Macaca mulatta: one gene and its partners. The protein of the gene in region 3 binds, or shares a complex with, the protein of the main gene of each other region. Links are inferred from orthologs where the notes say so. Each region holds a gene or a part of one and is shown on either strand. Other genes may lie near its edges. The genes, in order: NCS1, AIFM3, NMT1 and HPCA.

The links.
Region 1: the proteins of NMT1 (region 3) and NCS1 are in contact, whole or in part, in a crystal structure (PDB 5O9S), measured with the Homo sapiens proteins. The link is inferred for Macaca mulatta from reciprocal best matches to the Homo sapiens genes NMT1 and NCS1. Residues at the interface, in NP_066565.1 of Homo sapiens: Tyr180, Val181, Glu182, Asp183, Asp184, Asp185, Met187, Phe188, Arg189, Phe190, Tyr192, Asn246, Thr282, Ala283, Gly284, Arg295, Tyr296, His298, Ser300, Lys310, Phe311, Ser312, Tyr401, Leu403, Ser405, Tyr420, Gly468, Ile469, Gly470, Asp471; in NP_055101.2 of Homo sapiens: Gly2, Lys3, Ser4, Asn5, Ser6, Lys7, Leu8, Lys9.
Region 2: the proteins of NMT1 (region 3) and AIFM3 are in contact, whole or in part, in a crystal structure (PDB 6SJZ), measured with the Homo sapiens proteins. The link is inferred for Macaca mulatta from reciprocal best matches to the Homo sapiens genes NMT1 and AIFM3. Residues at the interface, in NP_066565.1 of Homo sapiens: Tyr180, Val181, Glu182, Asp183, Asp184, Asp185, Phe188, Arg189, Phe190, Asn246, Thr282, Ala283, Gly284, Tyr296, His298, Phe311, Tyr401, Ser405, Ile469, Gly470, Asp471, Asn473, Leu474, Leu495, Gln496; in NP_001373743.1 of Homo sapiens: Gly2, Cys4, Phe5, Ser6, Lys7, Pro8.
Region 4: the proteins of NMT1 (region 3) and HPCA are in contact, whole or in part, in a crystal structure (PDB 7OWM), measured with the Homo sapiens proteins. The link is inferred for Macaca mulatta from reciprocal best matches to the Homo sapiens genes NMT1 and HPCA. Residues at the interface, in NP_066565.1 of Homo sapiens: Tyr180, Val181, Glu182, Asp183, Asp184, Asp185, Met187, Phe188, Arg189, Phe190, Tyr192, Ile245, Asn246, Phe247, Thr282, Ala283, Gly284, Tyr296, His298, Ser300, Lys310, Phe311, Ser312, His313, Tyr401, Leu403, Ser405, Tyr420, Gly468, Ile469; in NP_002134.2 of Homo sapiens: Gly2, Lys3, Gln4, Asn5, Ser6, Lys7, Leu8, Arg9.

Annotation. Positions count from the first base shown.
Region 1 is NC_133420.1:17,427,280-17,434,615, forward strand, and holds the start of NCS1 (neuronal calcium sensor 1), read right to left. Parts: upstream 4,017-7,336; 5' UTR 3,757-4,016; coding exon 3,693-3,756; intron 1-3,692. UniProt on the Homo sapiens protein: Neuronal calcium sensor, regulator of G protein-coupled receptor phosphorylation in a calcium dependent manner. Directly regulates GRK1 (RHOK), but not GRK2 to GRK5. Can substitute for calmodulin. Stimulates PI4KB kinase activity.
Region 2 is NC_133415.1:31,810,343-31,817,730, reverse strand, and holds the start of AIFM3 (apoptosis-inducing factor 3), read right to left. Parts: upstream 4,065-7,388; 5' UTR 4,000-4,064; coding exon 3,829-3,999; intron 1,766-3,828; exon of another isoform or gene 1,717-1,765; intron 1,293-1,716; exon of another isoform or gene 1,209-1,292; coding exon 1,038-1,208; intron 1-1,037. Other genes in the region: uncharacterized protein LOC144331927, read right to left, coding at 4,823-4,974. UniProt on the Homo sapiens protein: Induces apoptosis through a caspase dependent pathway. Reduces mitochondrial membrane potential.
Region 3 is NC_133421.1:69,471,644-69,478,456, reverse strand, and holds the end of NMT1 (glycylpeptide N-tetradecanoyltransferase 1), read right to left. Parts: coding exon 6,740-6,813; intron 3,948-6,739; coding exon 3,777-3,947; intron 3,188-3,776; coding exon 3,020-3,187; intron 2,037-3,019; coding exon 1,899-2,036; intron 1,041-1,898; coding exon 1,020-1,040; 3' UTR 685-1,019; downstream 1-684.
Region 4 is NC_133406.1:207,960,298-207,967,583, reverse strand, and holds the start of HPCA (neuron-specific calcium-binding protein hippocalcin), read left to right. Parts: upstream 1-2,586; 5' UTR 2,587-2,592; coding exon 2,593-2,970; intron 2,971-7,222; coding exon 7,223-7,286. UniProt on the Homo sapiens protein: Calcium-binding protein that may play a role in the regulation of voltage-dependent calcium channels. May also play a role in cyclic-nucleotide-mediated signaling through the regulation of adenylate and guanylate cyclases.

The DNA of each region.
Region 1 (7,336 bases), on a different chromosome or scaffold from region 3:
CTCAGAACTTTGGCTGGCCAAGGCAGGAGGATTGCTTGAGGCCAAGAGTTTGAGCCAGCCCAGGCAACAGGGCAAGACCCTAACTCTACAAAAAGAAAATTTTTAATTAGCCAGGTGTGGTATAAATATCATGGCCGTGGTCCCAGCTACTGGGGAGACTGAGGCAGGAGGATTGCTTGGGCCCAGGAGGTCAAGGTTTAAGTGAGCCATGATTGCACCATTGCACTCCAGTCAGGTCAACACAGCCAGACCCTGTCTCCAAAACAACAACAAATAAGCATTAATACGATCACTGGCATTTACTGGCATTTACTGACCACATACCCCACGCCACATATCAGGTCCCACGCTGCACATGACCCCGTTGACTTCTCACATCCTCTCAGTTCAGGTACCATGAGCACATCTATTTTGCAGATGAGGAAACTGAGGCTCAGGTAGGTGAGGGGACCGGCCCATCCCACAGCCAGGACACACAGGGATGCCAACAGCCTCATCAGCAGATTGGAAGAGAGTGGGCCAGACCTCAGAGGAAGTGGGCCGCCCACAATGCTGACTGCCACTGTCTGTCTTGGCTGCAGGGTGACCCCCGTCCACCTCTCCCTAACCTATTGCTGGTGGAAGGCTGAGGATTGGGTTAGGGTTTGGGTTACGATTTGAGCCAGGTGGAATCCCAGTGTGTCCAGTGAGGGCCACACTGTTGGGGCCTTTAGACACTCCTGCTTCCTCACACACACAGACCACCACAGACAGAGTCAGAGACGCCCACCAAGGACACCGCTGAGCACCGACTCGGACGTGGACCCATGGCTCCCCTCTAGGCCCCCCGGCACTGTGGCCAGCTATGCACGAGGTGGGCTAGGACCCCCAGCATACACCAGAACTGTGGTCTTCAATCGGGGCTCCCCAGGACCACAGTTTGCAACACAAACACGCATCAAGGATGCAAATTCCTGGGCCCCAGCCAGACCCAAAGAATCGGAAATCTGGGAGGACAGCCCAGGTACCTTCATGTTTATTAATCAACCAGGAAATTCTGACATTTGAGAGTCCTTCCTGGGGCGCTTCTCTTGACCTCATACACAGAATCCCCCAGAACAAAGAGCAGATGGCTCCACTCCCCATTAGAAGGAAGCCCATCTGGGGCCGGAGAACAAGCTGGAGGCTTTCTCTGCTTGCTGTGTTGGGAGACTTTTCATTCTGTGGACCTACTAAAGCCCAACAAACGGGGAGAACACAGCTGTGAGCTCCACACACAAGGGCCTGCACCAGGGAGCTGACGTCAGCGCAGGAGGCAGACCGGAGGCCAACGAACCCACCGCCACCTCCAACAGCCCACCCCTAATAAGGGCTTCTACAGAGGAAAAGTCCCCAGGCCAACTCTCTCCCTGCCCAAAACTGTTCCACGTCTCCGAAGGCCTTTAAAAATAGCCCAGCCTAGCACCACAAGGGCCAGTTCCTAACAAAGCTTTGTTGACTCAACTTCTCTCAAAGTTGACAGATCTGCCCAGAGGAGGGGGCCGGACAGAATGATCACCCCAGGCCCTTCTCATTTAGAATCCACCATCATGGGCTTCTAACAAAAGCCAGAAAAAGACACATCCAGAAGAGCTTTTTTTTTTTTTTTTTTGGAGATGGAGGTTCCCTCTTGGAGCAATCTCGCCTCACCACAACCTCCGCCTCCCGGGTTCAAGTGATTCTCCTGCCTCAGCCTCCCGAGTAGCTGGGATTACAGGCATGCGCCACCATGCCCAGCTAATTGTGTATTTTTAGTAGAGTCAGGGGTTTCCCCTTGTTGTTCAGGCTGGTCCACCCGCCTCAGCCTCCCAAAGTGCTGGGATTACAGGCGTGAGCCACTGTGCCTGGCCCAGAAGAGCTCTTGGCATGAGCTCTGAGGTCTCTCACTAGCCTTGGAGCAGGACAGACCGGAATTTGAGTCCTGGCACTGTCTGGTCACTAGCTGTGGGATCATGGGAATGCCACTTTGCCCCTCTGAGCCTTAGTTTCCCCATCTGTAAATAGAGATCGCAGCAGCACCCAGCCTGGTAGAGCAGTTGTGGCGGAGTCGAGGTGCTAACGATGCCAAGAGCTTGGCAAGTGACATGCTCCATGAGCAGGAAACCTGGCTTCACTCCCCTGTCCCACCACGATGGAGGCATCCCATGCAGCCCATGCCCACCACTCCCGATGACGCCCACTGTGTCCTCACTCTCCCCCGGCACAGGGACCCAGGAAGTCCACCTGCTGGCAGCTGTGGGCCACATCTGGACTTAGCTTGAAGGAGGCCCCAGCGAATATCACAAAACAGCAGCCAGACTGGAATGGGCCACCCACCTGCCCACCTTGGAGAGAGGGTGACAGCAGCCCCTGTGCCCAGGGGCTTCACCCCTTCCAGGTAGCAGCTCCTGGGATGTGAGCTCCATGCTGCAGCATTCCACAGGAGAAGGGCCAGCACCTCGCAGCAGACTAGCACCCGTTCTGGAAAGCCCCCTTTGTTCCAAGCACGAGGGGTGAGGGGCATGGAGCTGAAGCGTGGGCTTGGACAGACCTGCAAACGTGCCCAGAAGACCGATGGAGTTGGGGGGAAGCGGGGAGCAGAGGTTGTGCAATGCACCACCAGGAGCTGCCTCCCCAGCCTCCATCAACACATGGGGCTGGCGGTCAAGCTGCTGCCTCCAGGGGTGGTGCAGAGGGCCTGGGCCCACGCAGCTGCCCGGGGATGGGTTCTGAATTCCAACCCAAGCCCAGAGCCACTGTCCCCTTCCAAGTCAAACACCCAGGCAGAGGTCCTTCCAGGCCCCGATGCGGAAGCCTTCCCTCTCAGCATCCCCTGGGTGGTCTGGACCCATTGCCATTAACCCCTGGTATGCCAGGGCACCTCCGGAGATGCTGCAGGGAAGGGGGAAGCCTGATATGGAGAAATTGGGGCTGCAAGGGGACTGCAGAGTTGTGAAGTTGGGCAAGTGGAGGGAGACACACTGAGACTGATCTGGAGACGTCCAGAAAGGACAGGCCCTCCTCCTCCGGGCAGCCCGCGACAGCTAATGATCACACACGGCCCAGATCGCCCGGGCTGTAGAAACCCATTTCCCGGTCTGGCAGACAGAGATGGAGCCAGGGAGAATCCAGCCTGTAAGTGCTGCAACCCACAGGGTGCCGGGGACCCTTCGCCGCCGTCACCGCTCGACAGGCGCTGTGCCAAGTCTCGCCACCCCCCACACACGAACGGGGCCAGGGAGGGGGCGACAGGCCAATCTCGCAGCAGCAGCGGCGGCGGCATCGTGATGCATGAATCACCAGCCCCGCGCACTAGTGCCAGTCGGCTCCGCGCAGCCGGGCGCCCCCTCCCGGGACCACCGCCCCGCCCTCACAACAGCCCCTGCCTGTTGGGACAGCTCTGCGGAGAGGGGGCCGCCAGGAGGCTGGGGTTGCCCCTCCGGACCTGGGGGTGGCGCCGCGCACGCCGACCGGCGCGCACTCCCCGGGCTGGGGGTGCCAGAACAATGGGGCCGGGCGGGGGGCAGGGGCGCGGCCCGGGAGCCTCCGAGAGGCCCACGGCGGAGGCCGGGCTGGGAGGACCGAGCGGAGGCGGCGGCGCGGAGCGGGTAGCGCGCGGGTCCGGGGGGCGGGGGCGGCGGGCGTGGGGGTGACCGGGAGGCGCGGGGCACGGGCCAGGGACCCGGAGCACTCACAGTAGGTCTTCCTGGTCAGCTCCTCCACAACTTCGGGCTTCAACTTGCTGTTGGATTTCCCCATCCTCGGCGGCCGCGGCCCCCGCCCCCCCGGGCCGGACCCGGTTGGGGCGCCCAGCGGGAGCGGCTGGGCCGGGCGGGCCGGGCCGGGGCCGCGCCTTTGTCTGCGGCGCCCGCGCTGCGCTGCGCGGCTGTCGGCGCCGGGGCGCTCGGGGCGTGGGGCGGCCGCTGGGCAGGCCCGGGCGGTCCGGGCGCCGCGGCGCGGGGCTGCCTGGGCTGGGCGCCGGCGCCGGCGCGGTGTGGCCGCGGTCGTCCCTGGTTACTGGGCTCCGCGGCACATGCTCGCTGCTGCCTCCCGCCAGCCGCCGCCCCTGCGCTCCCCGCCTCCCGCCTCCCGCCTCCCGCCCGCACCCGCGCGCCAGGGGTGGACCCGGAGCCGCCACTCAGCGCCCGGCGCCACCTCCCGCCCCGCACCCACCTGGCCGCGGCCTCCGCCAGCGGGACCCCGGCCCCGCCAGCCCGCCGGAGGGGCGTCCCCTCAGCTCAACGCGGCCCCAGGGAGGGGCAGCCACCCCCTCCCCGAATCCAGCCCTGGCGCTCCGGCCCCCGCCGCGGCGGGAGGGCCCGGAAGATTGGATGTGGATGAGGCCAAGTCCCGGCCCGGAGACATTCATTCATTCCACACGGATTCATGGGGTGCCGAGGACACGGCGGCCCACGGGACAGGAGCGCCTCAGCTCTCGCAGGGCGGGCAGGGCTGTGCAGGGTGCCGCAGGTAGCGGTGGGGGCACCTACTCTCGGCCTGGGGCAGGTGACCTCCAAGCCCAGGGTCAGGAAGGGAGGGGGGATGGAGAAGCGTTCTGGCCCAGGCAACCTGGAGAGGCGGGGAGGCCTGCACGCCCGAGGGACAGCTCCCCGGCTTATGGGCTTGCGCACCAATGCGGGCACAGGGGGCCTGGGAGAAGGGCAGGGCCCACGGGGCAGGCCCGGAAAGGCCCCTCGCCGAGGAGCTGGGCCCCTGCCCACCAGCGCCCATGAAGGGACTTCAGCAGAGTGATGGGTCAGAGCTGCTGGAGTGACAGGTCAGAGCTGCTCGGAGCTGTTTCTCTGAGCCAAGGCTGGAGTGACAGGCTCCACCTGAATGGACAGAGGCCCGTGGGTTAGCGTTGGGGGGTGGTCCAGAGGGTAAGTCCAGCACGGCCTTCCCGGGCCACCTCATCCAACGTATCACCACCTCTTGAGACCTCTCCCATCCTCCTTTCCAGCTTTAGTTTCTCTCCTTCGCATCCGTCACAAACGTCACCTATGTTTTCTGCCTCCTGTTTGTCTCTTCCATGGGAGAACACCCTCCCAGAGGGCAGAGGCGTCTCCATAACCTACAAGACCGCCTGAGGTGTGGTAGTTACCCAGCAAATCTCTGTGAGTGAGTGAAGGATGGAGGAAGGAATGACACGCGGTGCTGGGGCCCTGGGGTAGAGGAAAGAGCAGGGAGGATGAGGCAGCCCTCCCCCCGGGGCCAGCAGGGATGAGGCAGGAGTGGGGTCTCTTTTTCTTCTTTCTTTCCACAGTGTTCTAACCTCGGAGGGCCCGGAAAGCTCAGAGGAACCCTGAGCAGGGCCGAGTGCCTTCCAGCTCCCAAATCTCTCTCTTGCCTCTAAGCATACTCCATCCACTCCTGCTTTCTCCTGAAGCCCCTGCCCAGGCTGAGCCCTGGGCCCCAGGAAGTCTTCAGATGAGGATGGACTTGCTGGCTTGGGGAGCTCATTCTGCAGAGGAGGTGGGCACAGTTGGAGGGAACTTGTGTAGACTTGGGAGCAGAATGTCCCAACCTTGAGGACCAATTCAGAGTGGACAGCAGTGAGGGGCCCATAGTGGGCGGCTCAGAGTTGACCAGACTGTGCTGAGCATCCTGCTTGGGAGGAGGGAGAGCCAGCGCAGGGACCAGGGCCTGGCTGGATGACAGCGGTAGTAGTTAAAGCCCTACAGAAACCCAGGTGCTCAGGCTGGGTGCAGTGGCTCATGCCGGTAATCCCAGCACTTTGAGAGGCTGAGGTGGAAGGATTACTTGAGCTCAGGAGTTCAAGACCAGCCTGGGTAACATAGGGAGACCTCATCTCTACAAAAAATGTTAAATGTTAGCTGGGCTTGGTGACACATACCTAAGTCCCTGTTACTCGGGTGGCTGAGGTGGAAGGATCGCTTGAACCCAGCAGGTCCAGGCTGCAGTGAGCATCATTGTGCCACTGCATTCCAGCCTGGGTGACAGAGAGAGACCCTGACTCTCTCTCTGTCACACACACACACCTGAGAAAAGAGAACAGAGGAAGGAAGGAAGGGCCAGGCATGGTGGCTTATACCTGTAATCGCAGCACTTTGGGAGGACAAGGCAGGTGGATGGTTCGAGCTCAGGAGTTCAAGACCAGCCTGGACAACATGGCAAAACCCCGTTCCTACAAAAAATACAAAAAAAAAAAAATTAACTGTGCATGGTGGCACATGCCTGTAGTCTCAGCTACTCGGGAGGCTGAGGCAGGAGGATTGCTTGAGCCTAGGAGGTGGAGGCTGAAGGAAGCCCTGTTTGCACCATTGCACTCCACCCTAGGTGATGAGACCCTGTCTCAACACACACACACACACTCACACACACACGCATTCACACACGCACACAAAAGAAACCTGGGTGCTCATCCTGTGAGTATTTCTTGCTCACTGCCCCTGTGTCAGGTGCCGTGCTGGACACTGAGACCAACACGGGAGCTTACGGATCTGATCCGACCTGCTGCACAGTGATCACAAAATCACGCTGGCAACAAACACCGTGCAAGGAATGGAGAGGGTGGGGGAACATACATGGGAACACCTGCCAGGAAACTCAGGGACTTCATAGACTCATCCCATCATTTGGGACATGTTTACTAAGCACCTACTATGTGCCAGGGCCCTGGGGACATACACCAGATCCCTGTCATCGGGGACCTTACACTTTAGTGAGGGGACAGTGGTATAATCAATAAACAATATGCATAAATGCAGCATAGAAACCAGAAACACAGGGGTGCAGAGGCTTATGCCTGTAATCCCAGCACTTTGGGAGGCCAAGGTGGGCAGATCATGAGGTCAGGAGTTCAAGACCACCCTGGCCAGCGTAGTGAAACCCCATCTCTATTGAAAATACAAAAATTAGCTGGGCGTGGTGGTGGGCCTGTGTAGTCCCAGCTACTCGGGAGGCTGAGGCAGGAGAATCACTTGAACCTGGGAGGCAGGGATTGTGGTGACCTGAGATCGCACCATTGTATTCCAGCCTGAATGCAGGAAAAAAAAAAAGAAAAAGAAAAACCATAAATACGCTGCATGAGTAGAATGTATCTCACAGGTGAAAGAAGAAAAATGAGGCAGGGAGGAAAATGGGAAGGGCTGAGGGCAGGAGGTGTGTGGTTTTTGTTGGAGAAGGAGCCTCATTGAGAGTGGAGAGGAGCATCGCCCGGGCCCTGTGGCAGAGCCCAGGTGGAGCCCAGCGGGCCCATGTGCAGCCTTGTGTGTGGCCTTGCAGGGGTGCAGTAAGGCGGGTTTTAAAGGGCAAGGCGCAGAGTGGGGAGGTGAGGTCAGAATCCCAACTCAAGGGACCTGATGTGCTTAGCCGGTCC
Region 2 (7,388 bases), on a different chromosome or scaffold from region 3:
CAGGCCTGGGTGTCCACAGCACAGGAGTTGGGGGAGGAAGAGTGGCTCCCTGGAGCAGAGGCAGGTGGGTCCCTCTGTCTGGTGAGTCACTACAGTTCTCCTCTCTCCCCTAAGTTCCCCCTTAGACCCAGGAAAGGGAGAAAAGGCTCACAAGTTCCAAGGTAACGGAGCCGATGGGTATCAGGTAAGGGGAGCTGGGGTGAGCTGGCTGGGGCAGGGTGGCCTGGCGGGGTGAGTGGAGCACTGGCTGGGCTCTTGAGGTCTCTCTAAGCCTAATTTTCTCCATCTGTGACAGAGCTGCACACTCCTGCCTCCCTGGGTGTTGTGAGGAGAGAAGAGGGAAAGTGGGGGGCCAGAGGGAGAGCTCTGCAGACATGAGTCTTTAGTGGAGAAAAGACGCAGGCCTCTCCCAGCACCCCAGGACACTATCACTTCTGGCCAGAGTAGCTCAGGCTAGGTTGGGTGGTGATTTCCTGTATAAATGGGGAAGTGTGCCCAGAAAGGCCAAGAAGGCAGCCCGAGACCACACAGGGGATCAGAGGAGGCGAAGAGAGCCAGGATCTGCTCACTACACCCTCACAGCAACTCTAAGAGGTCAGAGTGGCCAGGCCCTCTCTTTTGCAGAGAGAAAAACAGAGGCTCAGAGGGGTAACTTGCATGCCCTAGGTCATAGAGTGGCTGAGGTTGTCTCCAGTCCCCCCACTTCCCTGGCCCTGGGGGCATAGCCCCTTCCCCAACCCTGCAACAGGAGGAACCAGCTTTTCCTTTTCCAAGAAGGGTCCTGCTCTTATTCCCACCACCAACACTCAAAGCCCCAAAGAAAAAGGGGCACCCAGTGGAGGAGGGGCCAGCTGGGGAACTGCTCCAGGCCCCCTACCCCCTCCTGGCTGCAGCGTATTAACATTCCGAGCAGGCTCCTGCCTAGCCTGACCTACTTCGGAGGCTTGCCGAGTGCAGAGGGGGAGGGCGGGGGGAAGAGGGGGGAGGAAGAGGTGGGGAGGGAGGAGGAAGGATGGAGGCAAGAAGACAGGAGGTACCTGGTTTGGGCTTGGAGAAACAGCCACCCATGGCGAGTGGCCTGAAGATGGCCGGCAGGCAGGAGCACAGATGGGGAGCTGTCGGAGGCCTAGGGCGCCCCCCATGGGGCTGGACCCCCTGAAGGCCTTAGAGATGCTGGAGATGCCATCCTGCTGGAGCTGCTCTAGGACCTGCAGGGGAGACTGGGGCCGTCATGACCGGGGCGTGTGGGCAGAGGTAGAGACACACAGAGAGAGAGAGAGAGATGGTGGGAGCTTCAGAGAGTCTTACATTTGAGTTGGGAACCATGGCGTGTAGGTGAGCCTGATCCCAGAGCGTGGGGCCCTGGAGGACACCTCCCCTTTGAAGCCCTCCAAGCTCAGCTCTCTCACTCCTCCAGTGGAGTTCCTCGCCCCAACCTCGGCCACCCTTGGTCCAGCCCCACAGCTGCCTTGCCCAAGAAATCCTCCCTGATTTCTGCTGCCTCCTCATGCCCCCCTTCCCCTCTCCAAATCCCACAGCCTGAGAGTTCTTGGACCCTCCATTGTACCGGGAGACCACCATGCCTAAGCGTAAAGAGTGGGTCACCTTGGGCAAGCCAAAGCCCTCCTCATCCTTGGTCTTCTCCCTCCTACAATGCGGGTGTCATCAGGCTCCCTCTAGCCCAGCCCTACCCTGGCTAGTACTCTGGACACCCACCTCCTCTCAGGGCAGCCACTGCTCCGTGTTCCAGGCCCAGCAGTGGACTGAGGCTGCCGGGCCTTGGAAGGCCGGGCAGGGAGGGCAGGGGTCCAGGAGGCGGCCCAGCCTCCACCCTCCTCCCAGCTCAAGCTGTGGCCAGGAGGGGCTGGGGGGTGGTGTGGGGCTGGGCCAGTCCACTGGTCCCCAGGGAAACCCAGCTCTGTGGTGAACAGAAGTGGGCGGCCAGCCTGGCCCTGATGGGGTTAGGGGAAAGAGAAGCCGGGCACACAGCCCTGCCATGCCTGTGCCCAGCAGCCATAAGCTCCCCCTACCCCCGACTCCAGCCCTTCGCAAATGCCCACTAGGCCTGTGGTGCTGGGGTCTTGCCCAACAGCAGATGGGGAAAGCAAGGGGCCAAGGTCTCATCAAGGTCAAGCAGCAGGGGTATCCCTGTGGCCTCCTACCCCACCCTCCCACCTCCATCAGTTTTAAGATGGGCAGGGGCCCAGAAAGCCCCCATATCACCCTAAGGCCCTGCAAGGTGCCCTGGGGGAGGGACACCTGCACAGCAGAGAGCTCACTGTAGCCCAGGTGCCTTCCAGGCTACAGGGCAGGCCTTCTGGAAGATGCAGCCTACAGGTAGGACTTTGGAAGGCCCAGGGCACAGGCATAGCTGCCTTGTTTGCAAATGACCTCCCCACAGTCCATCCCACTGTCATCCTCCGGTTTCCTCTGGAACTTCTTCCTGAAGTCTCACTTGAGGTGGGGCTAAGGCCCACCTGGTCTGGCCCAGATCCCAGAAGGGCTGTGCGTGGGTGCCTGAGAGCGAGGGGTGCAAACAAAAGCCCAGGTTGGAGAGAGACCATTGGTGCCTGGCCCCTGCACCTGTCGGCCCTCAAGGTGCCCATTACAGGGGAGGAGCCGGTGACTCCCACAGCCACTGGGGTGTGCCTTGGCTCTTTCCCCCACTTGTCACCAAGGAAGGTCTGTAAAACTCAACAGCCACCTGCCCCACCTGCCCCCTCCCTGGGCACTAGGCAGCCCCTCCCCGGGTCCTGGCTTCAGCCCTAGCTCAGCCCTGCCCACTTCCTTCCTGGCTGACCTCAGGCCTCACCTGCTAGGCCACAGATCCCAGAAAAGGTCAGACCTGGTCTTGCCACTGGGGACCTGCCCAGGCTGTGCTGTCCCTTCCGGAGCACCCAGGGCCCTGAATCCCCCAGGGCCTGGGCCAGGAAGAAGACTGGGTGGGGCCCCTGTGCCTTCGGCCTACTGTGTGCTAGATCGGCTTGGAGCCCAGTCACCCCACTCAAAGGCAAAGGTCCTTGCTAGGGGCAGGGCAGTAGGGCCCCCCAGGTTTGTGCAGAATGCCAGAGTGCTGTTCCTTGCCCATGAGCTGCCCACTGCAGAAAAGTTCTAGCACAGTCCAGTGCTAACTGGACTCTGCAGGAGTCTGTCTGTCCCAGGGACCCCAGGACCTGTGAAGCGGGACTGGATTACCCCCATCTCACTGAGCGGCCACTGCTCCACCTGACCCTCCCGGGGTTCCTGGCGCCCGCCCCGTGTGCAGGCTGGGCAGGGTCCTCTCCCCACTCCTCCACCTCTTGCCCACCCGCCCCCACTGCCTCATCCCAAGGGCTCCTGCCCAGATCGGGCTCCCAGTGGCTTCCAGGCGTCCTAGGGGTGGCATCTGATTCCAGTCCTGCCTTGGAGTGTGGGGGCTCCGCGCTCTCCCCTCCCCCACGGAGCTCAGGCGCAAGCCTCTGTCCACTCTCCTCGCCTCTGCACGTGCAGTTCCCTCGCTCTGGGAAGCCGGTGGCCGGTGCCAGCAGCCTCGCCGGCTCCATCCCGGTGCCCCGCCAGACCTTGCAGCCCGGGAAGGGGGATTGGCACACAGTGGGAAGCCGCGGCGAGCAGGGAAGGGGCGGTTGTGGGACGAGAGAAGGACGAGGTGTGCTCTGGCCCCCGGGCAGTGCCTGTAGCCACGCTTGCCGACCCCCAACCCCTAACGTGCCGGGCCCGGGTCCGAGACCTGCGAGCACAAGCGCTGGCCCCCGGCGCCGGGGCGAAGAGGCAGGGCGGCGGGCGGGGACCGGGGTTCCGGGGACCGGGGTCCCCGGGGCGGGCGCTCACCTGGGCTCGGCGCGGGCCTGGACTCGGGAACCGCTTGGGGCCGCGGGCGCGGGGGGGCGGGGAGGCGCGGGCGGGGCGGGGCTGGCGCTGCGGCTGCACTGCGGCCGGGGAGCCCGCGGCGCCCAGCACCGCCCCGCCGGGCCGGAGCAGGTGGTGGGCGGTGGGGGACATAGAGCAGGCCGAGGCCCTCGGCGTCCGGACCGGAGTCGCGGAGCGTGGGGAGGCAGCCGGGGGCCGCTCTGGCAGGGGGCGCCCCGGACCCGGGTCTGGGTCTCCGGGGATCCTCGCGACCTCCCAGGGATGCCCAGCTGGGGCGCGGGCAGGGTCTGCTTCTTTTTTACTTTTCTTTCTTTCCAAAGTCTCAGAACCACTGTGGGCGGGGTGGGGGAACTTGAATCACTCTGAGAAACCTCCACAAGAAAGAAAACCCCAATCAGGCCGGGCGCGGTGGCTCAAGCCTGTAATCCCAGTACTTTGGGAGGCCGAGACGGGCGGATCACGAGGTCAGGAGATCGAGACCATCCTGGCTAACACGGTGAAACCCCGTCTCTATTAAGAAATACAAAAAAAAACTAGCCGGGCGAGGTGGCGGGCGCCTGTAGTCCCAGCTACTCGGGAGGCTGAGGCTGGAGAATGGCGTGAACCTGGGAGGCGGAGCTTGCAGTGAGCTGAGATCCGGCCACTGCACTCCAGCCTGGGTGACAGAGCAAGACTCCGTCTCAAGAAAAAAAAAAAGAAAAAAAGAAAACCCCAATCAAACCTTACTGCCCACAGCTCCCTTCACTGGGTGGGGGAGTTCAGGTTCACCTGTGTCCTAGGTTCCTCCCGGCCCTCTCTCCACACGTACCAGGGTCTATTTTCAATTATATTTTATTACATTTTTCTTTTTCTCACCTGTCATTTACCAGAACTCCTTGGGTCTCCAGAAATCACAGTGCATCCTGGTGTTGTGCCTCCTCCTCCAGGAAGCCCTCCCTGACCAGCCTCCCCTCTATTAGGGCTGATTATTCTGGTTCCTAACACTTGGGTGTTTCATTGTCTTTAATGTGTGGATCTCTGCATTTGTAGGTAGACTTTGTCCTTCCAGCAGGCTAGAGCACAGAGGCTGTGTGGGTTCCTCCCCTGTCTGGGCCTTACTCTCCTCTCCTGTAAGGAGGACAATAATGACAGCAGTAATAGTCCCCTGTGCCAGGCCCAGCCGGTCTTCCCAGGCCATCCTCTGGGACTATTTGTGCCCCACCCCACTAGGGGGCAAGTTCGAGCCCCCCAACCCCACCACCCTCCTACAATTTTACAGATAGGGAACGCAGCCCAGGAAGTCTTGGTCTTGCTCAGGGTCAGGAACAGGCCCTGCATGGGTCACACTGGGAGCAGGTGGTGGGGTGCCCAGGCCCGAAGGGCACATGTGGCTCAGTTCAGGAAAGTCCTCTCAGCTCATGTGTCGCTTCCACAGTGGGACCGTTGCCACTGCCATAGGAGAGTCCCATCACTGGGCAGATGGCAGTGCTTGGGCCTGGTGCCCTCCATCTCCAACCAGCCTGCCCCCATTTCATGCACGTGGTGATCTGGCTGCCCCACCCCCCACCCACCCTCAGAATCTCCTGCAGCCAGGAAGACAGTGTGCCTCATAATAACTACGGCTGTGATTTTGCATGCATTTATTTCCTTACCCATCACAACAGCCTGAGAAGGAAGGTTCTCTTTGTATTATCTCCATTTCACAAGCAGAGAAACTGAGGTCCGGTGAGGTTAGGGACTCTCCAGGGCCACACAGCTGCTAAGTGGCAGAGCAGCCCTGGGCAGGCTGGCCTCCCAGGTGGAGGGTTGGAAGCAGGAGGGGAGAGGCCTACCAGGCTCATGCAAGGCCGCAGGGCCTCCAGTGCACAATTCAAGTCTTATTCTGTGACCGTGGCAATCAGTGAGTGGACCCCTCTGCTCCAGCCTCCCCAGGATCCCGGGGGTAACTGAAATACTCTCCCAGACTGCTGCCAGGACACCATGACAGGTGCAGAACCAGTCACAGGGGGTGCTCGGGAAGTGGGGTCGGGGCTGCTGAGTTTGGGGTGCCAGAGAGAAAGCTGGGGAAACAGGTCAGTGTGGGGGTTGAGGAGGCCAGCAACCTGGGGAGATACCCTGACACAAGGCAAGTGCAGGCCTGACCTGGGGCAAGTCCATTGTGACTCTCTTGGCCCCAGGCACTGTGCTTGAGGTTCCTGCTGCCTCATGCTGGGGCAGAAATCACAAGATCTTCATAGGGCAAAAGCTAAAACCAATGGCAGGCTAGAAGTGCTGCCTCTCGAAGGGCCGTAAGGCTTAGGGGAGATGTGTGTGGACCAGGGGCCCCAGGAAGACCCAGCAGGGCTCTGAGCCCCTGGCAGCCTGAGGTCCTGATCTTGCCCCAAGGATGGTTCTGGAAAGGCGATAATATTCCAGCAGCTTTGACAGTACCAAATGGGGCACATGGCTGCAGTGAGATGACCTAGAGCAGCTGGGAGGTCCCTCAGGCCCATTAGACACCCCAAAGGCAGGAGGAGATAGCCAAGGTTAGAGAAGCAGTGAGTGTGGGGAGGATAATTCCACAGCCTGGGAGAGAGGTAGATCCCTAGGCACCCCCAGCCCTGGAGCATCCCACCACACAGCAAGCTTGTCCCTCTCCTCCTTACATTTATCCTCTACTGTCAGATTCTCCTATTCCCCACTCCCCTCACCCTAGAGTCTCCAAGCAGGGTGTGCAGGTATTTTAGGTAAGAAAGTGACTGGGTGTGGCAGCTCACGCCTGTAATCCCAGCACTTTGGGGAGCTGAAGCAGGAGGATCGCTGTCTGGGCAACAAGGCAAAACTGTCTCTACAAAAAAACAAAACAACACTTTAGCTTGGTGTGGTGGTGCAAGTCTGTAGTCCCAGCCACTTGGGAGGCTGAGGTGGGAGGATGGCTTAGGCCCGGGCAGTCAAGGCTGCAGTGAGCCATGATTCTGCCACTACATCCAGCCTGGGCAACAAAGTGAGACCCTGACTCAAAAAAAGAAAAAAAAAAGGCCGCTGCAGTGGCTCACACCTGTAATCCCAGTATTTTGTGGGCAGATTACTTGAGGTCAGGTGTTCGAGACCAGCCTGGCCAACAAGGTGACACCCTATCTCTACTAAAAATACAAAAATTAGCTGGGTGTGGTGGCGCACACCTGTAATACCAGCTACTCAGGAGGCTGAGGCAGGAGAATCGCTTGAACCCAGGAGGCGGAGGTTGCAGTGAGCTGAGGTTGCGCTACTGCACTCCAGCCTGGATGGCAGAGTGTGACTCCGTCAAAAAAAACAAAAGAAAGAAAGAGAAAGAGAAAGAGAGGAAGGGAAGGGGAGGGGAGGGGAGGGGAAGGGAAGGGAGGGGGAAAGAGAGGGAGAAGGGGAGGGAAGAAGGGAAGGGAAGGGAAGGGAAGGAAAAAAAAAAAAAGAACTGAGCCAGTTTCAGTATCTAACATTGTGATTGACACTGTCGCCCCCTGGAGCCCAATCTGAGAATCAGCAGGATTCTCCTTGAGGGTTCTGAAGGCAAAGACCAAGACTGG
Region 3 (6,813 bases):
CATGCCACTCCTGCCCAGCCACCCTGGGGACATCAGGGTGCTGGCTCTTTGCTCTAAGATGAGCTAAGCAGGGCTTACACTGATATGGTCTCCAAAGGTCCCTGATGCTACAAGGAGGTCCAAGGGCCTCTTCAAACTGCCAGTCATCCCAGGCAGTGGAAAAGCAAAATCTCACAGGGGACTCATCCCTATAAGGTTGGCAACAGCTGGCTAAAGAGCCCTTTTGAATCAGTTGGCAGGATGACTTCCTATAGGGAGCAGGTCAAGGGGATGGAAGAAGGGACTCGATCAATGAGGTCTGCTGCTGCGGACCGTCCCATTGCTGTGTCTCAAAATGCAGGCAGGTCTGGCCCTGCAGGAAAGTCCCTGCCCAGCGTCAGCCCCAGCCAAGAGCTCCATGTGCCATCCAGTGAGATCTGAGCCTGTTCCACCTTCCCTTCCTTCTCAAAGCCAGTCATCCCAGCTGATTCAGAAGGGGAGCTGGATGCGGTTCTCCAGATCCTCTTTTTCCCCAAGATAAGTCAATGTCTCCTCTGGAGGAAACCATGACTGTGCCAACGCGTCTGTCTGCCACTGTCCTCGGGTCCTCATTCTGAGGAATGATCTGGATTCAGCTTTTCATTAAAGACCAAACATCCTTGCACATTTGGAACATGAAAGATATTTAAAATATTTATATATATATAATATATATATATACTTTTATTATTCACCCGTTAACTCCATTATATGCCAATCACGAGCTAGTTTTCAGCAGTTACATTCCCTTGATCACGGCTGCATGAAGATGTAATTAACTGGAAAACACGGAGACCAGAGACACGACCGGAGGTGACGTCACGCAGCCCACGCCATCGCAATACAATTGTCAAGTTCGCTGGCGGTTTGGTAAAGCCGGTTCAGTTCTGCTCCCTTTGCCAGGGATTCTCACGTGTGTGAAAATTGGACCAACAGTGGTGGGGTTCCATTTCCTGGTTCGAATTTTCAGTGGCTTTATCCAGAATCTCAGTGGTGACTGGTTATTGTAACACCAGTCCAACCTAGGAGAGCCAACAGGGAGAGGCAGAGCTGAGTCGACAGTGGTCCAAAGACTCTCCCACACCCCCCATCCCCGAAGTTCCGACTGGCTGGGCCCGGGGTCCACCGCTTGTGCTGTGGGAGCAGACTCACACCCAGCTGGCCCCGTGCTCAACCTCCACACCAGGGTTCACATGTCCATCAGACCTCCCAGGGAAAACTGGTCCACGCTCCAGCTCACCCCCATGTCCCCTGTGGCGCTGGGGGAGGAAGGGCTAAGAAAGTGTCATGCCAGGAAGAGGGCAGCAGCTCGGGAGAGGAAACCTCCTCAGAGACCCCGCAGCCCTACCCTCCTGGCAAACTGTGGGCAACTCAACTTCCACGGTTCCCTCAGGTGGGAAGGCCTTCCTGCTCCTGTGTGGCTCTGTCCCCTCTGCCATCCTCACACCAGTTGCTGAGAGGGGAACGCTGACCTGCTGGTCTGGCCAGCAGAGGGCAGAGGGAGGGCATTTTCTTTTCTTTCTTTCTTTTTTTTTTTTTTTTTCAGACGGAGTCTCGCTCTGTCGCCCAGGCTGGAGTGAAGTGGCGCGATCTCGGCTCACTGCAAGCTCCGCCTCCCGGGTTAACGCCATTCTCCTGCCTCAGCCTCCCGAGTAGCTGGGACTACAGGTGCCTGCCACCACGCCTGGCTAATTTTTTTTTGTAGTAGAGAAGGGGTTTCACAGTGTTAGCCAGGATGGGAGGGAGGGCATTTTCAAAGGCTCAACTCCAGGTAACAAGGACCCAGACTGCAGCTGTCTCCCCAACCCATGGCCCGGTTTCTGCTGGAGACACTGATTCCCTGGGTTGGGCAGCCTGGACTCTGGCTGCATGGTGCCCACCTTCTCTGCCCCCATGCTGGGGCATTTCCAATTGTAAAGGTAATACTGCAGGTTGCCGTCCCCTATGCCAAACTTGAGCTTCTCCAGGAAGGTTTTGTTCTCCATGAGATCCAGTGCATTGAACACATCAAACCCTTTCTGCAAAGCAGCAGGGAGAAACAAGAACAGGTGAGGACAGGTGGGGATGGCCTCCTTCCTAACCCTTTGCTGCCATTTCAAAGCTGTCCTGTGGGCAGCCACAAGAACAAGGTTCCCTCAGAAGCTCTGCTGCTTCTGCATTACTCCCCGCTCTCCAGGCGGTTCTCAGGACACTCTGGACGCCCCCTCCAGCCTGGCCTCTGCCCAGTCTCCCTCTGAGTATACACATAGGTACTCAGTGTCCAGACTGGGGCTCTTGCTATTCCTGGTTATGCCTCCCTGAAACTCTAGTCATTTCCACAGTCCTCTCTGGAGTCCAAGCCCTGAGCCCCTTCCTCTGAGAAGCTGGCTCCCATCAGCTACCTGGGGTTTGTGTTGCTTCCTTACTCCATGTATACTCCAACTCTCAGGCCCTCAGTGCACCTCATGTTATGTGACACCTGCTGTGTCGCTTGGAGACTGTGAAGATGCTTCCTAAACCTCACCAACTGGAGCAGAAGCTCTCACAGGGCAGGGACCAGCTTGCCCACAGCAGGCTGGGCTGGGTGCAGGAGGTCACCAGAAGCCACAGCGAAGCACTGACCGACGGGCTCTCCAGCCGCTGCTGGCAGTCAGACACTCCGATGACTCACCACGACAGAGAGAATCACCCCTTTCCCACGCTGGGAAAGCTGTGAGGAGAACCCGTGTCCTCCCAGGGCAGGCCTGGCTATTCAGGCTCCTTGGTGGTGCCTCCTGTGAGAATGAAACTCACTGAAATGAATCAGGAGGAGTTCAATGCCTTCACTTCGGATGCTCCTTGCTCCTTCCGAGTTTTGAGTTTCTGGCTAAAAACTGCAGGAACCCTGCCTAAGCAGAACAGGAGGTGAGGAGGACTCGGAGCCTCCCAGCCCATGGGAGGCTGCGTCCCGGGAGCTGTGCTCACCATGGCTCCACTGCCCCTTCCCCGCACATCTCCAGAGAGCCCCTGGTCTGCTCCTCACCATTTTGGCGAGGACAAGGGCGTCGCTCATGAGGTCTAGAAGAGGGGTCTGGGTGTGAACATTGTAGAAAGAATAAGCAGCTTTGAGACTCTTGTGGGTTGGATGGTTCATGATGGTGGAGGGCAGCGTATAAAAGCTCAGGAAATCCGTCACCTCTCCGTTTGAGTTCTGAAGGGAAGGCAATAAAGAGGCAATGTCAAGCATGTACAGTGGCACTGTGGCCCAGGAACAAAATGTTTTCTTTTGCTCTGCCTTCAGGCAGCTCTGCCCCTCTAGATAAACAGGTGGAAACTGCAACAGGACATGTGGGGAGGAGGAGGGATGTTGGCTCAGGGCACTTGAGGACAGAGCCGTGATCGTAGACTGAAACTGCCAAACCTCTTTCCCAGCAGGGGCACCACCAGGGACCTCTTCTTGCAGTTCACATCCCCCCTAGACTGTGTCTCCTACGTCTGGTCAGCACTGGGTTAAGTTGGGACAGGCAGGGAATTGCAGGCTTTCCTGAAGGATTAAGGGGGGCTCAGTTCTCTCTATTCTGTGTTATCAAAGTGGGGCAGAGGGGGAGAAGGGCTCAAGCCAGATCCAAAGATATCTTTTCAGCAAATTCAAGCACCAACTCCTTGTTTTTAGGGAGGACCAAACACGGATGGTCAAGGAAGTCTAGGGTGCCAACACTCAAGCCCTGGGAACCCGGCCACTCAGGGGGATGCCTCTCTGGGAACGCATTAGAGGCCTGGAACACCACTCCCTGACTCACCTCCACCACGAAAGTGTCGATGATATTCTCCTGGGGGTAGAACCAGTGCTCCACCTCCTCCTGGCTCATGACGGGCGTAAGGTGAAATTGCTTCAAGTACCTGGTGAGGAGCTGGTGCACTACTGGAATGTCCTTTGTTTCCATTGGTCGCAGCCCAGCTGTCTTGGGAGTCTGGAAGCAAGACAGAAGAGATGGAGTGAGATGAGCTGATCACCCTGGGTCTATCCATGGTGAGGATAGATCAGGCCCTCAAGAGAGAATCCCTGGTCATTTGGAGGCTCCCTGCACCCCCGTGCATCTCTCCTCAGGCACAGGGCCTGCCTCTTCCATATCTTCTGGCCCTTTCCCTCCTAGTCCAGGAGGACTCAGGCTGCTGCATCAATCAATCATCCACATGGCCCCAGACTGACTTCCTAAGAAAACACAACCCTTCATGCTCCACCCTTGTTTCAAACTCCCCGCCCCAGAGCACAAGACTTTCTACCCTTGGGCCAGGGTGGCCTTTCTAGCTGTACCTTCTGCCCATGCAGCCCAGCGGTCCTCACAGGCTTCTTTCTTACTGAACTGTGACTGATGCCATCCCATACTCACTGCTCGCTCTCTGCTAGACTTAGAGCACTTCACAGACCCCAGGGCCTAGCCAGGGTCTGCCCGCCCAGACACTGTTACACCAGTACTTCCCAGAGAGCCATGGCTGCAAGTTAAATGCAGAAGAAAAGCAGCATACTCCCAGGATTTCATCCCCAGTCAGCGTCCCACCTGGCAGCTGCTTTTGCTAGAAAAATGCTTCAGTGGAATGAAACCATATGATGCTGTGGTGCAAATACCGGGCTGGTAGAACATCCCCAGAGGCTCAGATACACAAAGGTGGGCTTGGGGCAATCTGCAAACAGGGTGGTGTCACAGTTTACAGGCCTCAGTCAGTGCCTGACACAATGCTTCCCAGTGCAAGAACTGCTTTTAAAACTTCAGTTCTAGAACCTCCAGCCTCTAAAATTCCTTGCTAAATCCTCGTCTCTCTAGGGAACACTCACTGACCTCATTCTACATGGCAGCTCCCATAATGATACCTCAAATCCTGGACTGAAAACACAGCCATGCTGGGGTTTCCACCCCGATATGGGTGAGGCAGTCTTCTGGCTGCCGCAGCACTCTAAGAATGCTCTCTGCCCGCCTGCCCACCGGCCTAGAACGCAGGGCAGATTTGTCATGAGAACAGAAGGCAGAAGACACATACCACAGTCCCCCAAACCTGTGCTTTTGGCAGTGTCTGACGGTACTGCAGCAGCCTCTCAAGATGGGACACTAATGACCTCAATCCGTTGGTGGATTAGCCTGATTTCAGAGTGATCAATCCTGTTTAGAGGCTGAGAAGTCCAGGCAGGCAGCCCTCACGTCAGCAGGAACTCAGTAACTGTGTGGACTGATGGCCAACCAGAAGCACTTCGAGGAAAAAGAAGGGATTTTCCTCTTTTTTTTTTTTTTTGAGACGGAGTCTTGCTCTGTCGCTGGGCTGGAGTGCAGTGGTGCGATCTCGGCTCACTGCAACCTCTGCCTCCCAGGTTCAAGTGATTCTCCTGCCTCAGCCTCTCAAGTAGCTGGGACTACAGGCACGTACCACACCCAGCTAATTTTTGTTTTTAGTAGAGACAGGGTTTCACCATGTTGGCAGTGAATCTCTTGACCTCATGATCTGCCCGCCTCAGCCTCCCAAAGTACTGGGATTCCAGGCGTGAGCCACCGCCCGGCCGGAGAAGGGATTTTAAGAATCCCTACTGGGATGGGCAAGGTGGCTCACACCTGGAATCCCAGCACTTTGAGAGGCTGGAGGTAGGTGGATCACTTGAGCCCAGGAGTTCAGATGAGCCTGGGCAATATGGCAAAACCCTGTTTCTTTGTTTTCTTTTGTTTTGAGATGGAATCCCGCTCTGTCGCCTAGGCTGGAGTGCAGTGGTGCGTTCTCGGCTCACTACAAGCTCCACCACCTCGGTTCATGCCATTCTCCTGCCTCAGCCTCCTGAGTAGCTGGGACTACAGGCGCCTGCCACCCCATGACCGGCTAATTTTTTGTATTTTTACTAGAGATGGAGTTTCACCGTGTTAGCCAGGATGGTCTCGCTCTCCTGACCTTGTGATCTGCCCACCTCAGCATCCCAAAGTGCTGGGATTACAGGCGTGAGCCACCGTGCCCAGCAGCAAAACCCCGTTTCTATAGAAACAAAAATTAGCTGGGCATGGTGGCGAACGCCTGTAGTCCCAGCTACTTGGGAGGCTGAGGTGGGAGAATCACTTGAGTCTGGGAGGTCAAGGCTGCAGTGAGCTGTGACTGCCACTGCACTCCAGCCTGGGCAACAGAGACCGACCCTGTCTCAAAAAAAAAAAAGACTCCCTACCTGAAGCCAGCCACAGTTGGAGCATTTGTTTCTTTGGGAAACTAGGAAAACTGAGACCCAGAAGAGAAAAGCAGCTCACTTTAAAGCTGCCCAGTCCTTCAGTGCCAAATCTGGGTAGGGAAATTGGGATTAGAAATCAGGGCTTCCCTCACAAGCTCAGGTCACCCCTCACCTGGCCTGGCAGAGGGGTGCCACAGACCCTCGAGTGCATCTGCGCAGGGCTTTGGAACACGCTGCCATGTGTGTGAAGGTTCACTAAGTGGATCCATCATTCTATTTAAGCTTTACTTAGGCTAAAATTACAGGGAATAGGTGTTCTCTGAGCCTTTCAACAGATGGCAGAGAAGCTAGTCCAGGCACAGGCTCAGAGGAACTGAGAAAGTTAAACTAAAATAAAATCCTGCTGCAGATAACAGAAATAGAAAGTCCAGGAAATCTGAAGACTATGGGCTGGTTCACTTTTCCGGAAGGAGAAAGCCCCTCTCCACCCAGAGCCCTTCTCTCCTGCTGACAGCCAGGCTCTCCTTGCCCTCTCTCTGTTCTCTGTCCACCACCCGGGGCACCACTGGCCTCTGGCAGTCGGTAGAGCTTCATGGTGCGCTGCATGGTCATATTTCTGCTCAGGTGGGAGAACTTCACTTCAA
Region 4 (7,286 bases), on a different chromosome or scaffold from region 3:
CCTTCTCTCTCCGGGGCGGGGGTGGCGGAGCCTAGCGCGCCGCTCCCCCACCCCCAGGGCTGGCGGGGACCCCCCTCAGGGGAGGGGCTCCGGGTGAGCGCTGCGGGGCGTCTCCCTCGCAGTCCCGCCCGCCCCTCCGGCCGCCCCTGCCGCGCGCGCCGCAGCAGCGCCGCCTTCCCTGCGCAGTCGGTGTCTCCGCGTCGCTGGGTGAGTGGGGGCAGCTCCAGCCGGGGCCAGGGGATGAGGGCAGGGGGTTCCCGGAGCCGGGGGCCCACGTCCAGGGCTTCCCAACACCGCCGCTCCCGGGCTTCCCGGGAATCCTTGTCCCGGGGTGGCGGGGGGCGCAGGGGACCGGGGAGCGCGTGGTGCTCTCCAGGGTCCTGAACGCCGAGTGGCCAGCCCCGAGGAGCCGCGTTCGACCGCCCGGGAGCGCCCCCTCCAGGAGGGGCCACGCGCCGGGCGCTGTCCTAGTGCTGAGCGGATGGAGGCGGGGGCTGGGGGCCAGAGCTGAGGGAGGTTTGGAGCTGGTCCCCGGGGCTGGCTTCTCAGGTCGAGCTGAGGGGGGTCTTCCCATATGGGAGACTTGAGGTCTTTGCGGACAGCTGAATCTTCTTCCAACCGGGGGGGGGCAACTCCGAGAGTGGCAGGGCGGAGGGGGCACTGGAGGAGCTCTCCTGCTCTGCGCATCTCTCTGCCCCCACCCCGGTGACCCAGTTCCTTGGACCTTGAGGAGGGCAGTGAGGGACATGCCCCAGCCCTTCTCATTTCCTCAGCCCTTTCCCACTCGCTTGTCTGGTGGGTCCTTAGCCTGGGCCATAGAGGCTGGTCTAGAAAGGAGGGGGACCAACTTACAGAAACATGCATGTGACACACCGCCTAGGACACACACAGGTCCTCCAAATGACCACACGGGCTCATTCCCTCACGCTGTGACGGGTGCATACCTGATCACATGCACATCTGAGGCACATGCAGGGACATAGATGGAAAGACACGGCAGGCGAATGCAATACAAAAACCAGCGGCACACATTATGCATGAGCATATGCACTCATAACACACCCATTCACATGTGTGCAGAGCTTCATGCACATGTATGCACAAATAATCCCCTCCTTGCCCCAAGTGGGTGGGGGTCACCTGCACACACCCCTACATTCCTGTGCAGAACTGGCTGGCTGTTTCCTCTTCATTGCCTTCTACTCAGTCTCCACAATCTAACCTGCACTCAGGGGGCCTTTCAGGACTAGATGAAAGGTAAGTGTTGGGGAGGCTTGGATGGGCTTGGGGGGGGTCTCCTTGGAAAAGGGGCCCCCAGCAGGTCTGGGAAGGTTTGCAGTTCCCTCTCCTGGGACCTGGCAGCACCCCTGGGAAAACTGAAGGAAAACAAAGAAAAATGGCAAGGGTGCCTGAAGGTCCCACGTGCAGCTGGCCATGTGAGAGGTGTCGGCATGCGAGTTGGCGTGTGATGGCATGTGTGAGACATGTGGGGTCGTGGGCTGGTGTGTCTTGATGCACAGGGTATGGGAGTTGTGCGTGGTGCCATGTGTCGATTCGTGTGAGTTGCGGAGCAGAGGGAATGTCGTCATGTGTGGAGGCATGCTGACCCATGGGTGGGCGTGGGCTGGTACGTGAGTGGCATGGGATCCAGGGTGTGGATCTGGTGAGCTATGAAGCATATAGTTATCGGTATATGTTTGTTTGCACAGTTTTTGCATGAGTTTTGTGGCACCTGGGTATATGTAAGTCATTTTTATTTATTTAACACTTATCTAGCACTTATCTGTGCAGCCATGGTTCTAAGTGCTTCCCACTTATTAACTAATTTAATCCCCACAACTATCCTCTTAGGTAAGTACTGTTATTACCCCACTTTAAAGATGAGGCAGAGAGAGTTTAAGGAACTTGCCCAAGGTCACGTAGCTGGTAAGAGGAGGAGCTGGGATTCAAACCTAGGTGATCTGACTCTGGAGCCCACAGTAACACCTCCCTCTGCTGCCTCTTGTTGGGCACACCTGTCAGAGGGAGAACAGGGCAGTGTCTGGGCTGCGGATATGTTTTGTGCTGAACAGGCACATATGAGGCAATGAGAAGGCAGTGGGTAGGACGGAGGAGGATCAGAAGGTTTTTCTGCACCTCTGTGGGCAACTCTAGGAGTCAGCCTCATCATGCCATGGCTGTGTGACCTGAAGCAGCCACCTCACATCTGTAAGTCTGCCTTCTCATCTGTAAAATGGGGAAAGTCCCCGTACCACCTGTCGTGAGGGTGAAATGGTGTGCATTTGTGAAGGCTTAGTGGCTGGCACCGAGAAGGGCCTCAGTAAATGTGAACCCCCCCTTCCCTTCCTCCCTCTCCCAGGAAAGTGTATGATCCAGGGAGATGGTGTGGAGCATGGCACAGATACAGGATGCCTGGGTCTAGACTGTGTGACCTTGGGCCAGTTCCTCTCTTTCCCTGGGTCAAACGAGAGGTGGGGATGGCTGTCGGCAGGGGGAGCCATCTGGAGCAGTGTCTAGTATCCAGGAGGGCCTGATCACTCCTCTCTGCCCTTGACCCCCTTGGGGACCCAGGTGGGACTTGGCTCGGCGGCCATGGGCAAGCAGAACAGCAAGCTGCGGCCCGAGATGTTGCAGGACCTGCGGGAGAACACGGAGTTCTCAGAGCTGGAGCTGCAGGAGTGGTACAAGGGCTTCCTCAAGGACTGCCCCACAGGAATCCTCAACGTGGACGAGTTCAAGAAGATCTACGCCAACTTCTTTCCCTATGGTGACGCCTCCAAGTTTGCCGAGCACGTCTTCCGCACCTTTGACACCAACAGCGATGGCACCATAGACTTTCGGGAGTTCATCATTGCGCTGAGCGTGACCTCACGCGGCCGCCTGGAGCAGAAGCTCATGTGGGCCTTCAGCATGTATGACCTGGACGGCAATGGCTACATCAGCCGGGAGGAGATGCTGGAGATCGTGCAGGTGGGCCCCTGGGCCCCTCAGAATGCCAGGCACAGGGCCCGGCAGCTTGCACCCACCACCCCTTTTGATCCTCTCAGCAGGCCTTGTAGGCAAGTGGTGGCAGGGGCTATTCTTGCAATCCCATTTAAAAAATTGTTTATTAGAAAATATTTCCCATTTAAAGAAAAGTTGAGAAAACTCCCCTATACCCTCTACCCAGATTCGCCAATTAACATTTTGCCACAGTTGCTTCATCATTATCTGTGTGCGTGTGCATGTGTGCACACTAGTGTGTAACATTTCTTGTTGTTCTGAACATTGGCCCTTTACCCCGGATACATTAGGATATATTTCCTAAAAATAAGGACATTCTCTTACATAACCCATAATATGATTACCAAAGCCAGGATATTTAACATAGAAACAATGCTATTATCTAATCTACCAACCATATTCCAATTTTGCCAACTGTCTCCATAATGTTCTTTATAGCATTTTTGGCCCTGACCTGGGGTCATGCATTGCATCTAGTTCTCATGTCTCTTTAGCCCCCTTTAATCTGGAACAGCTCCTCATCCTTTCTTTATGAGTTGACATTTCTGCAGAGCACAGTCCAGTTATGTCTAATTGATCTTCATTTACACCAAAGGAAACAGATGCTCAGAGAGATAAAGGCACTTGCTTGAGGCCACACAGCCTGTGTGAGAGGGCCATCTGGCACTACTGTCCACATTCCATCTGGATACCCAGCTATCTTCTAATTGATTGAGGGCCCACTATGAGCTTAGCATTGAGTGAGGTGCTTATGAGCTCAGTGCATGCTTACAACAACCCCATGAGGCTCGGAGAGGTGAAGTGATATACCCAAAGTCACCCAGCAAATAAGTGGAGACAAGCTCTGGCTGGCCACTACTCAGAGCTGTCTACTGAGAGGGCTCTGGACTCATAGCCAGGAGGTCTAGCTTCCAATTCTGGACGTGGCCTTCACTCTTAGGCTGCTCATCTGTATGGTGATACTGACTTCACAAGGACATTTAAGGACCAGATATAAAAGCCCTTTGTTAGTACAAGTTTAAGTGTGCTACATGTTAGCTTTATTTCAGAAACCTCCCAGAGCACCCATCCCCTCAGACCAGCCTTGAAGATGGCCAGGGCTCTGGTTCTATTTTACCAGTCCACTTCCTTGCCTGCCTTTTTCCTAAGCCTTTATGGGTTTTTTCACCTGTAAAGTGCGGGTGTTAAGCCCCTGCCTCACAAGGCTATTGCAGGGATAGAGTGAGATAAGGACTCGAGCGGAGGGCTTGGCATATAATTGGTACTTGGTAGACATTAGCAATTGTCTGTTATTATTTTCTCCTCTGTACATCCTCTGCTCTAGCCAGAAGGGCCTTTTCAGCATCTTTGAAATGTGCCCTGACTAATCCTGTCACGCAGCTTTGCACAAGCTCTAGCCCCCTTTCCTTCTGCATCTCTGAATCCTTTCCCTTCTGGTTCCTCAGCTCCATAGACTGCTGCCCCAGCCACTGCTGGACTCTTGACTTTGGCTTCTCCTTTTGCTAAGGTCTGGGCCTGCTCTCTAGGTGGAGATGTGATGCCCTCCCCATACCTATGGCTAGAAGGGGGAAAGCCTTAATGTTTGCCATGGACTCCTGTGGGTCAGACATTTGACTCTTTAGTTGCTCGATGGTAGGGGGATCTGGGGGTTCTGAGGGTAGGGTCAGGTGGCCAGGATGGTGAAGGATCACCCAGACATGGACAGCAGCTGGGTATTGACCAATCTGGAGGGACATTTGCATTTTACCACTTAGTGTGTTGCACTGGTATGTACTGGTAAACCCCAGTCCTGCTGGAGTACCATGCCCAGGGCATCAGTCAAGCTAGACCCATTCCCTGGGCATCCTCAGGACCCCTTTCTGGTGGCTTCTGCTATCCAGGCCCTGGCTTCTTTTCTGGCGGCCCAGTGGCCCCAGATGGTTGGTACCCACAGAGCTCTGCAAGCCCCAGTACCTGATTAATGACAAGTCGGCTCCCATGAAACCATGAGTGAGCAGCAATTCCAGACAATTAGTTAGCAGGCCCAGGAGAAGGCTGTCACAGAGGTAGTGGTCACTGGCCCAGTTCTTCTCAAGACACAGCCCTGTGCCAGCTAGTGGACACACTGGAGAGGAAGAGACTGCGCCTCTTGGGGCTCCCACTCTGGTGGGGGAGACAGATGTGTAGGTCACACTGACAAGCTCAGTGACAGGGGTTTAAAGGTGTCATCTGGGAGCCAGAGGACTGAGTGGCAGGGAAGACTTGAGGATGTAGAGGATGAATAATGACTGTAATATAAGCTATTTACTGACCACCCACTCTAGCCAGCCACAGTTCCTCACACATAATCTCATTTAATCTGAGGAAACTGAGGCTAACAGAAAAGTATGTGTCCAAGGCTACATAGTTAGTGAGTAGTGGAACCAGGACGCCACTCCAGGTCCATCTAACTTTAGAAGCTTGAAACTACCAGACCCCTCTATTCATGTGCTCATCAGACAGGTACTGATATCCGGTCACAACTGTGGCTACCATTCATTGAGCAGTTACTACAGACTGGGTCTAATGCTACAGGCCCTGCTGACTGTCACCACCCCACACTGCCCAAGCATCCCTCCAGCAGCTAAGAGGGAACAGGTACAAATTGAGTCTCCGCCATCAATTTCCTTTCTGAGCCACAGTTTCTTATCTGGAAAACAGGGATCATGATACCTGTTTTTCAGGGCTTGTGCGAGGTTTAGAAATAGTGCGTGTAAAGTGCCTGGCACAGAGCAGGTCTCTGATAAGTGGTAGTTAGTATTGTTATTCCAGGCAAAGACTGTAAATGCTGCAGAATCTGAAGGGTCAGGGGTGTTTGGCTCTTGGCAGGATCACCCAGCCAGGGGAGGCCTGATGGAGGAGGGTCAGCAGTGGACAGATTGTAAAGCATCTTAAATCCCAAAGGCCAAATGGTTTGAACTTGGAACAGAGGGCAGTGGGAAATGCCAATGGCTTTTAAATAGGGAAGTCCCTGCCTGGTGCCAGGTTCTGGGGATATGGACATTAGCTAGACGTCCACGTTTGCAGGAACATCCCTGCAAAGACATAATTTCTTCTGGAGAGATGTTTGCAAAGGAAAAGTCCACCGGGCTCTGGGCCCATATGCACCCTGACCTAGCCTGGGTTGGAGAAGACCTCGCTAAGAAAACAGCTTGTAAACTGAGTCCCAAGGAGGAGTGGGAGGCAGCAGAAGGAGCTGGGTGCAAGGCGAGCCTAAGGGGAGCCCTGTGTGTGACGGGAGTGAGGGGGTGGTGTGCGGGCTGGGGACGTAACAGTGGAGATCTGTGTTTGGAAAGAGCTTTCAGAGGCAGCATAGGGGACAGACCCGAGGGACAGGCTGGAAGAGACCAGTGCGGAGGCTGAAGCTGGATCTGAGACAGCAGAAGTTTATGGGATGGGAGAAGGGAGGCTTCTTGGAGGAAGTGTCGGTCGGGTAAAGCTGGAAGATTGGGGAGACAGGTTCGGTCCTTGAGCTCCGGGGCACTGTGACCCAGGCTACAGGCCAAGCCCTACGTGCGTGCTCTGTACATTTAGCGCAAGAACTCTCTTTCATGTCACCTCGGGAGCTACTGCACGTGGCGGCTGCCGCCCTCTGCCCAGCCCAGCCAAGCCTGGCGGTCCCTGCCTGCTGCAGATGCATATTTGCATTCATTTGCATACTGTTCCCCGCCCCTCTGGCCCTCCAGCCCGCGCCGCGCCCCCTGCCGGCCGCAGACCGCCCGGCAGCGCAGTGACGCCCCCTTGGCCCGGCGCCCCCTTTCGACCACCGAGCGCCGGCCGCCCTGGGCCCGGGTGCCAGCCCGGTACTTACCACCGACTCGCGTCCCGGGCACGCGCTCGTAAGCCCGCCGCTCCAGGCCCTCCACTGTAGGGCCCCGGTGTCCTCCAACATCTCTCCTGACCCCCTACGCCCCCAAATTCCCGGCGCCCGCTCGGAGCTTTCACCTGCGGCGTCTTTGCGCCTTTCCCACCCAGCTCTCCAAGGGAGCGCGGCAGGGCCCGCCCGATAGCCCCCTCTTCTGGGAAGCCTTCCCAGACACGCCTTCCCGAAGCCCCCGGCTCCCCACGCCTCCGTAATTCCCCACTCCACCTTGCCCAGGCGGGGGCAGCAAACGTCAGCGAGCCCGGGGGCGCCTCTGAATCTTGCGGGTGGGGGCTCGGGCAGCCTCCTCTCACTCCCCACCTCCCCTCCCGCCCCCAGGCCATTTACAAGATGGTTTCGTCCGTGATGAAGATGCCGGAGGACGAGTCGACCCCGGAAAAGA